Linked DNA regions of Mus musculus. The main gene of each other region encodes a partner of the protein of the gene in region 2 in a complex. Links are inferred from orthologs where the notes say so. Each region holds a gene or a part of one and is shown on either strand. Other genes may lie near its edges.

Evidence for each region. Proteins that work in one complex are often made in the same cells at the same time.
Region 1: the proteins of Eps15 (region 2) and Ston2 are in contact, whole or in part, in an NMR structure (PDB 2JXC), measured with the Homo sapiens proteins. The link is inferred for Mus musculus from reciprocal best matches to the Homo sapiens genes EPS15 and STON2. Residues at the interface, in NP_001972.1 of Homo sapiens: Leu139, Gly148, Lys152, Pro153, Val154, Leu155, Leu156, Asn157, Ser158, Lys159, Val162, Asp163, Leu165, Gly166, Arg167, Trp169, Glu170, His176, Gly178, Met189, Val192, Tyr193, Leu196, Glu197, Lys198; in NP_001353779.1 of Homo sapiens: Trp309, Arg310, Ala311, Thr312, Asn313, Pro314, Phe315, Glu318, Gln321, Asp322, Gln324, Pro325, Ser326, Ile328, Asn329, Pro330, Phe331, Phe334, Phe335, Glu337, Gln338, Glu339, Arg340.
Region 3: the proteins of Eps15 (region 2) and Ap2a2 are in contact, whole or in part, in a crystal structure (PDB 1KYU), measured with the Mus musculus proteins. Residues at the interface, in NP_031969.1 of Mus musculus: Asp629, Pro630, Phe631, Lys632; in XP_006536218.1 of Mus musculus: Phe442, Phe443, Trp446, Lys447, Asp487, Pro488, Val494, Arg511.

Annotation. Positions count from the first base shown.
Region 1 is NC_000078.6:91,639,937-91,643,436, reverse strand, and holds part of Ston2 (stonin-2), read left to right. Parts: intron 1-1,513; coding exon 1,514-1,716; intron 1,717-3,500. UniProt on the Homo sapiens protein: Adapter protein involved in endocytic machinery. Involved in the synaptic vesicle recycling. May facilitate clathrin-coated vesicle uncoating.
Region 2 is NC_000070.6:109,360,275-109,363,774, reverse strand, and holds part of Eps15 (epidermal growth factor receptor substrate 15), read right to left. Parts: intron 2,613-3,500; coding exon 2,451-2,612; intron 2,106-2,450; coding exon 1,908-2,105; intron 597-1,907; coding exon 396-596; intron 1-395. UniProt on the Homo sapiens protein: Involved in cell growth regulation. May be involved in the regulation of mitogenic signals and control of cell proliferation. Involved in the internalization of ligand-inducible receptors of the receptor tyrosine kinase (RTK) type, in particular EGFR.
Region 3 is NC_000073.6:141,628,180-141,630,845, forward strand, and holds part of Ap2a2 (AP-2 complex subunit alpha-2), read left to right. Parts: intron 1-1,010; coding exon 1,011-1,134; intron 1,135-1,879; coding exon 1,880-1,996; intron 1,997-2,105; coding exon 2,106-2,175; intron 2,176-2,257; coding exon 2,258-2,392; intron 2,393-2,666. UniProt on the Homo sapiens protein: Component of the adaptor protein complex 2 (AP-2). Adaptor protein complexes function in protein transport via transport vesicles in different membrane traffic pathways.

The DNA of each region.
Region 1 (3,500 bases), on a different chromosome or scaffold from region 2:
AGCCTTGTCAGAGAGATCTAATTTTTCTCATTTACGAGATAGGGTTATTAGTACCTAGCTCATTCAGAGTGAAATTGGGGAATGCTTTTCAGTGTGAAGCACAGTTTTCATAGAGATGACAAATGACAGCTCTGTAATTAGTCCGTGGCACCCAAAACAATAGATTGAACAGATGTGTTTTCAGATACCATCAAGTTCTGATTAATTTATGTGTGTGTGTGTGTGTGTGTGTGTGTGTGTGTGTGTGTGTATTAGTTTCTGTTCCTTTCCTAAAAGCCAGTGCAAATTTTTCTGTTAAATATCCTAGCCTTACTCTTTAGAAATAACCATTAAATTATGCTACATCTGCGAAAAACAAATACCTCACTCTGGAGTGATTTCCTTGGAGAGAGGGTGTGCGTCTCCTGACTCTCCGAGATTGAAAAACCCTGCCCAGAGCAATAAAGGAAATTGAAATTGTTGACTCGAAGAGGCAGAGAAGAGTTATACCATCAGTCAAAGCCACATCACAGTTTATCTGTAGTCATCTGCCGCCTCTCATCTCTACACTGTCATCCTGCAACCTGGTCTCCATGTTTCAGGGGCCATGAAATTATGACTCAGACAAAGGGGTAGCAGGCCACAGTCACAGCTCTGACACTTTTCTTCGCTGTGACCCCCTGAACCCTCCTCAGCCACCCTAAGACAGTGGTTCGGCAGATCAGATCATTGGTCCAGTGCACTGTGTCCCCCCAGTTTTCCTGTGTGCTGTCCATAACTCTGTCACTTTCATACATCACCCACCCGCAGAAACATGCCCGAGGCACCTCTGAAAATACAAAATGCTATTAGGAGAATTCATCTTATAAAGGAGAGCAGTTTGCTCCAGGCGGCTGTCGCTGATGGTTTCTTGGGTGCCAAGTGCTAATCTCATCTGCTCATTCTTCCAGTCTCAGGCCTCTTTCTTAGTGTTTGTGCTGTGTCCGCACAGCCAGCCCTTGGATCTAAACAGTCATAAAAGCCTATTTCTCAGGCTGTGGACTTTTTTTCCCATTTGTTTTTTTGTTTGCTCTCATTTTTACAAATGATGTTTAATCACCTTGGTACTTCTTTTTATTTATTTATCTTCTATTTTATGTGCATTGGAGTTTTGCCTGCATGTCTGTCTGTGTGAAGGGGTCGGCCCTCCTGGAACTGGAGTTAGAGAGAGTTGTGAGCTGCCGTGAGGGCGCTGAGAACTGAAACTAGGGTCTTCCATAAGAGCCGCCATTGCTTTTAACCACTGAGCCCTCTCTCTCTAGCCTCCATGGACTGTGGCTTTTATGCTGGTGTCCAGGCTGCTGTAATCAAGAGGCACAGGATGAAAGGGTCTGAGGCTCTCAGAGCCTGATGTCTGGGGAAGCGCCTGATTGGACCCTCAGCAAGCAGCCAGGCTCGGAGCCTGCAGCGTTAGCAGGGTGGCGCATTAGCCTCCTTTCCCTTTTCATTTCCTCCTCAAAGGACTTAACGTCTGGATGCTTTCTTTCTGTTGCAGCTTCTGGCCACCCACACTGTTTCTTTTGCCACCTTGAGCTTGGCTCTGACCGGGAAGTGCCTTCCAGATTTGCCAACTATGTAAACGTTGAGTTCAGCATGCCCACGACTTCTGCCTCCAAAGCAGCCGTGAGATCCGTGTCTGTGGAGGACAAGCCTGACGTCAGGAAGTGGGTCAATTATTCTGCACACTACAGCTACAAGGTAGCCTGGAGAGGGCTTCCCGCTGAGGTGTCCAAGCCCATTTGTCTGCCCCGCCCCTCCCCCCACTCCTTCCAGCAGATGCTTCTTATATAGGCCCTTTACATTCATAGCTGTGGGTGAATCTGCTCTGACTTTAATGAAATAATCCCTCGCGGGTAAGAGAGAAACTAGGCAAAAACTTAAGGGGCTGATGAGAATGTATTATCTGACGTAAATAGCAGCACAAAGAACAGTGGGACGAAGCGGGACCTGGTCCCATCTGTGGTAAGATTTCTGCTTTGGAGGGATTGATCTTGGAAATGGGGGCAGGGAGGGCTGGGAACATGATAAGCTGAAGCAAATATTTCGTCTACGGGAGTTGTGTATCAGAACCCAGCAGAGGCACTGGACTGTAGGAGTGCAAACTTAAAAGCCAAACCCTTTCACAGTGATAATGGGATCGAGACTGGGGGGGGGGGGGTTTCAGTCAAAACTGGAGAGCCGGTTTTCTTGCTGGGGGGGGGGGGGTACTGGGGGCTTTGAAGACAGGGTCTCCCCCTGTAGCTCAGTCCAGCTTTGAGTTCTGTTTTCCAGCCTGTGAGCACTCAGATTATAGGTAGATCACCGTGAAACAGGGGCTTGCAACATATCAAAATGATAATGTCCTGCGGAGGGAAGAGAAAAGTCTCGGTGAAAGATTTCACAGAGTCATTGGATCATTTCCTACATATAATGATAACCACAGATTTATATAATTTATGATTCCTCTAAATACTTTCTTAGTTGTAGCATCTAAAACTGTTTTAACTACCAAGAAGAACGAATGCCCCATCTTGTGGCCATGATAAAACTAGCAGTTCCCGCAACCATGGACTGCAAGCTGTCTTCAGTTGTCGCCTCCAATGAAGAAAACATTCCGTGCTGAGAAGCAGCCCAAGTCATGGGATTGCTAAGTGCAAAGAAGTCCCTTCCTAAGAGGCTTTAGTCAGGCGTGATACTCTTTAAAAGCAGTTTATTTAGTTACTTATTTATTTAATGTGTGTGGGTGTTTTGTCTGCATGTATGTCTGTGCCTGAGGAGACCTTGGCACTGGAGTCACAGACAGTGGTGAGCCACCATGTAGGTGCTGGGAATTGAACCCAGGCCCTCCAGAAGAGCAGCCAGTGAGTGTTCTTAACCACTGAGCCATCTCTCGAGCCCAAGGCATGCTACTTTCATGTTTCTTTTCTTTTTCTTTTTCTTTTCTTAAGATTTATTTATTTTATTTTTATGAGTGCACTGTAGCTGTCAGACAAACCAGGAGAAGGCATCGGATCCATTACAGATGGTTGTGAGTCACCATGTGGTTGCTGGGAATTGAACTCAGGACCTCAGGAAGAGCAGTCAGTGCTTTTAACTTCAGAGCCATCTCTCCAGCCCAGAGAGCAACTTCTTGACAGGATTTTGCAGGAGGTCGAACAGAACAATAAATGTTCCAATTCTTATTAGTGTAAAGACTTTTTAAAAATGAAATAATGAAGGGCCTTAAGTGGTCAATGACAGAGACATTTAGTCACTCTATTCACCATTGCCTACTGGAATCCCACACCATTGAATAAAATCAACGAGATCTGTTCTTATCCCTCGAACCTATGGAATAGTGGAGGCAGGGACGACAGATATATGCAGAGAAAACTTGTTCTCCCTCCTGAATTGGCACACAGGTAGTATTTGAGCAACTCTGGGAGACGAAGAATGAATAAGAATTTTCCACATGGACCATGGGGAATCCTAGAGTCCTTGGGACTGGGGTTCCACTGTGTCAG
Region 2 (3,500 bases):
CTATTATATACAATGCTGATAAAACACTGCTCTGGGGCTGGAGAGAGCCTATTTGATAAAGAGCCTGCTGCTCAAGTGTGGACTGAGTTCAGATCCCCAGCATCCATGCAAAAAGCCAAAAGTGGTGGTGTGTGCTTGTAAACCCAGAGCAGGGGTGATGTAGACAGACAGACACCTGGGGCTTCCGGCCAGTCACCCTAGTCTAATTGGTAAGCTCTAGATCTCCGAGGCCCTATTTTTTTAAAAACAAGTGAACAGCATCTAAGGAGTGACACTTTGAGGACGCCCCCTGGTCTCTGCACATAAGTCTGTACACACTAACTTTGATCTTCATCAATCTGTGGGGGGAGTCGAGGGGGAAACTTAATAATAAACACTATGAAACAAAAACTCACTGAGGACTCCTGGTGTGTGGGTTCAGACTCTAGGTTGTTTTGGCCTTCAGCATGTTCGTTGAAGTTGGCTGTTTCACTGCTGCTGGTGCTGAGGCTACAGTAATCTGTAGCACCATTAACAAGAACGCTTTGTGGGCTACTGCTCCAATTTGATTGGTTATTATCAGTTTCCAGATCTTTCATTTCCAATCTCATTTGCATCTGCCAATACAAAGTAGAAATACAAAACAATTTAATCCTAGAAATAAATATATCACAAATATCTATGCCCCTAGACTAACTCAGGGATGAGTTTGCTTCCTATTAGCAGATTCCTCTAGGAATGAAGCATGACTTAAAGGCTTCAATAATCTCTCCCAGTGAGTCCTCCTGCAATGTCAGCATGCATGCATTTGTTTTTGTAAGCCTTATGAAATTTCTGTCAGGTCTCTGAGAACTACTTCTTCTAAAAAAATAAGTCACACAAAGTCCAATAAACAAAGGATAAAGCTGTTTTGACCTAAACTAGTCAAATGAATTCAACCGTAAGACACAAATGGAAGAATCAATATATAATAATAAACAGATACAAGAAAACTAAATGATTTCACTAAGAAAAATTGATCTAAAAATTGGAATCCCAAAAAAACCCAGTAAGTTGTTCAGTGTCTTAGAGTTATTACTGCTGTGATGAAACCTCATGACCAAAGCAACTTGGGGAGGAGAAGGATCATTTGGCTTACACTTCCACAGCATTGTTCATCATTAATGGAATTCAGGACAGGAACTCAAACAGGGCAGGAACCTGGAGGCAGGAACTGATGCAGAGGCCATGGAGGAGTGCTGCTTACTGGGTGGCTCCTCATGGCTTGCTCAGCCTGCTTTTTTTTTTTTTACAACCCAGGACCATCAGCCCAGGGATGGCACAAGCCACAATAGGCTGAGCCCTCCCCATCAATCACTAATTAAGAAAATGTCTTTCAAGCTGGACATAGTGATATGCCTTTAATCTCAGCACTTGGGAGGCAGGGGAGGGTAGATTTCTGTGAGTTCAAGACCAGCTTGGTCTACAAAGTGAGTTCCAGGATAGCCAAGACTGTTAGAGACAAGACCCTGTCTCAAAAAAGAAAAGAAAAAAATGCCCTGCAGGCTTGTCCCATCTCACAGAAGCATTTTCTCAATTGAAGCTTCTTTTCCCCATGACTCTAACTTTTTTACCTCATGTTTTGCCTCATTTAATCCTTATAATAGCCCTAATAAGTAGGTTTGTTGTTAAATCTTCAACTTTAAAGATAAAAAAGCTGATACTCAAAAGTGATTCGCCTATGAAATGACAGAGCCAGCATTTAAACCTGAACAGCTTTAACTACAAAGCCCCTACTCTAATCTATTATGTAAATGACCATTAGACACCAACTTTAAGTATTAAACAACCAGAGATACTAACTAGGCAGAGGAAGAAGGGGCAGGTGTTAGAAAGTTACAACAAGGACACACAAGGCCCCTCTGGGCATTCTGCTGGTTTCCACTTACTGAGCTGATTTCCTGTTGTGACTCTTGTAGGTGCTGCTGAAGAGGTTCCAGCTGAGCCTTCCCTGACTCCACACTTTCTTCCAATTGTGCTGTTTCTTGTTGTAGGCGACTTAGTTCTTCTCTAGCTTTCAACAGTTCTTCCTCATAACTGGAGATCTGAGATTCTTGACTAGTTATTTCTGCTTTCAGGGAAGAAATCTATAAATGGAGATGAATGGGAGATGGAATTAGACACGAGATGTCTAGTTTAGTGGACTGGAACTTTTGAGGTATTCTTTTGGCAGTGAAAGTTAACAGGGAAGGGGCCAAAAGCAACTCAGAGGCATCTGTGTAACACAGGTAACATCTGTGTAATCAAGAGCTGGAAAAATATCACCCTTCTAATTCCTACTACAGAGAACTATAACTCTTCATAAGCATCCTTCCAACGCCTTCATAAAGCAGCTGCTGGCTACAGTGCCACTAACAAGCAGGCAATGTTTTCTTTCTAAACCAGGAACAAGATGGAGGTAGCAAGTCGGTCAGTAAGCAGCCAGGCTTTACCAGCTGGGCCTCCTCAGCACACTTTTTCCTGACTTCCTGGAGCTGCTCCTCCAGCTGGGCTTTCTGCTCATCCAGTTCACCCAGGAGCTCCTGCACCTGCTGCTTCTGGGCCTGCAGTTTTTGTAGATTAATACTCTCCCTTTGAACTTCATCTTGAAGATCCTGAAACACAAGAAACACATTTATCTCTTTGAGGGCATGGAAAGGTAAGATTTTAAGTCTACTTTAAGGGAAAACAGTCTTGTTTATTAAGTATTTTGTATTGGAGGACTAAAGCACTTGATTTTACATGCAGTCTTCAAGTGACCTCTTCTGGATTTGGATCTCTAGTCTGCTTACTCAGATAGGTCCTTGGATGTCTAACTGACTGCTATGTGTCAAAACAGAGCTCTTATTATTTCCTGAATCTGCTGTAACCTCGGTCTTCTAGTGAAAACCATGGCATCTTCTTCCACTTTTTTCCTTCCACTTCCCTTTCTCTTCTGTGTCAGGTCTGCCAGCAAATCCTTCCCTGCAGTGCTGGTTTCAGTCATCTTCATCTCTCTCAGAGAGTTACCTTTCAAGGGGTTATGCTGCTTCACCTCAGCTACTCTTACATGTATTTTCAGCGCCCTAGCCCCTTTTAAAAAGCCTTTTGCCTTCTGGGACTGAGCAATGCTAGATCCTTGGGCTTCCATTCACAGCTGCTGCTGAGCATTGTTGGGAGTTAGACTACAGACTAAGCTATCAACAAATTCCCTTACTATATGACTACTCATAAGTTCTGTGACTCTAGAGAACCCTGACTAATACAGAAGTTGGTGGCACACACCTTTAATCCCAGCACCTCCAGAGGCTGAGACAGAATAGATCTCTGAGTTTGAGGCTAGCCTAGTGTACTGACTAGTTTTATTGTGTCAACTTGACACATGATAAAGCCATCTGAGAGGCGGGAACCTTAATTAAGAAAACACCTCCATAATATACAGCTATATGGCATCTTATTAATTATTGATTGAGATGGAGGGTGGTACAATCCCAGGACTAGCGGTCTAGGTTCTATAAGAAAGG
Region 3 (2,666 bases), on a different chromosome or scaffold from region 2:
TCTCCTATGATATCAGTAAGTTCTTTGCCCTGGGAAATCCCCCAAAAGGAGCTGTGGCCAAAGGCAGAGTAACCCTGTGGTAACTGCCTGGAATGGATCATCTCAAGCCTGCTGGTTCTGTGTGCGCTGGTGGCCTTTGCTCAGGCAGAGGATGGATCCATGTGACCCATCACGGAGGGTCTGGAATGTTGGATTTTTTTCAGCTGAGGACTGTCAGAGAGGGCTGGCTGGCATCTGCTGCACCGTGCAGACAGTGACCAGGGATGCATGCCTTGGACCCAGCTCATAGTGTAGAGCAATGAGTGTCATCTTTGTAGTAGACCTGGGTTCATTTGGAGATGTTCTATTTAAACAGAACCGTTTGGAAACAAGTAAACACTGATGTGGGGTTTAGGGATGTATCTCGGTGGTGAAATGCACACCTATGCATCATAAGCAAGAACCTGGAAACATCTCCACAACCCCTGCTGTACACACGAACTCCCTTTCCTGTGTCTCTTTTCCCTGGGCTCCATGGGGTCATGAGCTGTGGGCACAGGGTGCCACACAGAATGCAGAGGGAAGCAGAAGCTGCCCATGACCAGCCATGGTTGCTTGGATCCTGGATGCAAAGGTATCAGAGAGCCTAGAGGTTCCTGTTGAGATATTGCAGTCTCTGGCTTCCATGAGTTCAGAGCTGCACTGATCTGTAATGCTGTGCCTTTTAGTTAGCAGGCATGGCTTCTGCTAAGAACATGTAGTTCAGAGCTTGGTTCTGCAGTGCTAAGTCCAATATGCAGCTAGTGTACAAATTCTAAGGTCTTTTAGGGAAAGCGACTAGCTTTGGCTGTAGGTAGTCTGGGCCAGTGGGACCTGTTGAATAATGGAAGGGCAAGCTGGCAATAGCTCCGGGCCTTGATTTACTTTCGATGTTGGCAAGTTGATGTGTAGGGGCCCCTGCTACTTTCTGTGGTGGGCTGGCTGGACTGATCCCACTCTCCTTGTCTGCCTGGACTCCTTAATGCACTCACATCTGAACCTGCAGACTAAGCCCGTGGACCCAACTGTGGATGGGGGCGCACAGGTGCAACAAGTGGTCAACATTGAGTGTATATCTGATTTCACAGAGGCACCTGTCCTCAACATCCAGTTCAGGTGAGTGGTGTGTGCCTCCTGTGTCCTTTCCCAACCAGTGTGCTTCTCTTCAAAGTTAGTGCTGTGTCCCTGTGCCTGTGTGCAGAGTAGTTAGTGCCAGGCCTGGAATTCTAGACTCCAGGAGCAGGTGCAGAGGGAGCTGGTGTCTGTGACCATGGCACGGTGCCCATGGGGTGTGAGTCTTCTGTGTGGTCTGTGGGGCTAGGCTGTTTCTGACCCAGATGATTTTGTGGTGAGAAATCGAAGGGCTTGCCCCTCAAGGAGTCCAAGAATCAGGCTCTCCACGCTGTCTTGTTGAAGCTGGCTTAAGAGGACAGCTTAAAGGGGAACGGTGGTAGCTGGTTTGGACCCAGACTTCTGGGCCATAGTATGTAGCTGCCTTTCTTTTTTTTTTAGTGATCATAATAGAGCATGATTCCTTCTTGGGGAGCTACTAGGCTAATTGATTTGGTAGGAGTTCTACTAGGGCTTGTTCCGGGTCTTCATTTGCCAAAGGAATAGGACTAAAAGGAACTGGTCCACTGACACTTCACATAAAGCAGTGGTTTGGTCCTTTGATCATCTGTGAATGGAGGGATAGATGGAGGCTGTGGCTTAGCCCCTCCAGGAATACTGCTGGTGTGCAGTCTTTGTGGCTATTATTGGGGTGGGTAGCCACGTGGCCTTTTTCTAAGCCCAGAAGACTCACCAACGGAAACATTCTGGCTCCATGTTTGTTCTCCATAACGTGACTCTGTTGTTACAGGTATGGTGGGACCTTCCAGAATGTGTCTGTTAAGCTTCCCATCACTCTCAACAAATTTTTCCAGCCCACAGAAATGGCTTCTCAGGATTTCTTTCAACGTTGGAAGCAGTTGAGCAAGTGAGAGGGGTGAACTGTGGGTGGAGAGGGGGATGGGGATGCTGTCTCTGGACAGGATGCTGTATGGGTGTCAGCATAGCTTTTAGTACTTAACATGCTGTTTTTGTAGTCCACAGCAAGAAGTGCAGAATATCTTCAAAGCAAAGCATCCGATGGACACAGAGATCACTAAGGCAAAGGTAAAGGTTGTATGGCGATGTCCCTGAGGCCATTGCTGGGACCAGTACTGGGAGGCTTGACCTGCTTCTTCATTCTGTGTAGATTATTGGATTTGGTTCTGCGCTCCTGGAAGAAGTTGACCCGAATCCTGCAAATTTCGTGGGTGCTGGCATAATACACACCAAAACCACCCAGATTGGCTGCTTGTTGCGCCTGGAGCCAAACCTGCAAGCTCAGGTGAGGTCTCCACAACAGGAGGATGGATATGCTTGTGTTGCTATTCATTTCAGTGCAGTTTATTTATAGAGATACTAAGTGTTGTGGTCATGGTGGCAGTGCAGACATTTAGACATCTCCTGGCCAGCAGAGCACATCATATTTCTATCTCCTCACAGAAGGCCTGACATACTAACAGTGCCTGTTTAGCAGTGTAGCCCTGAGCTGTGTCTAAGCAGGGCTCCCGGTGCTGTCTTGCTCTGTGTCCCTCTCTGGGTGTGGTGCACAGTGCTGC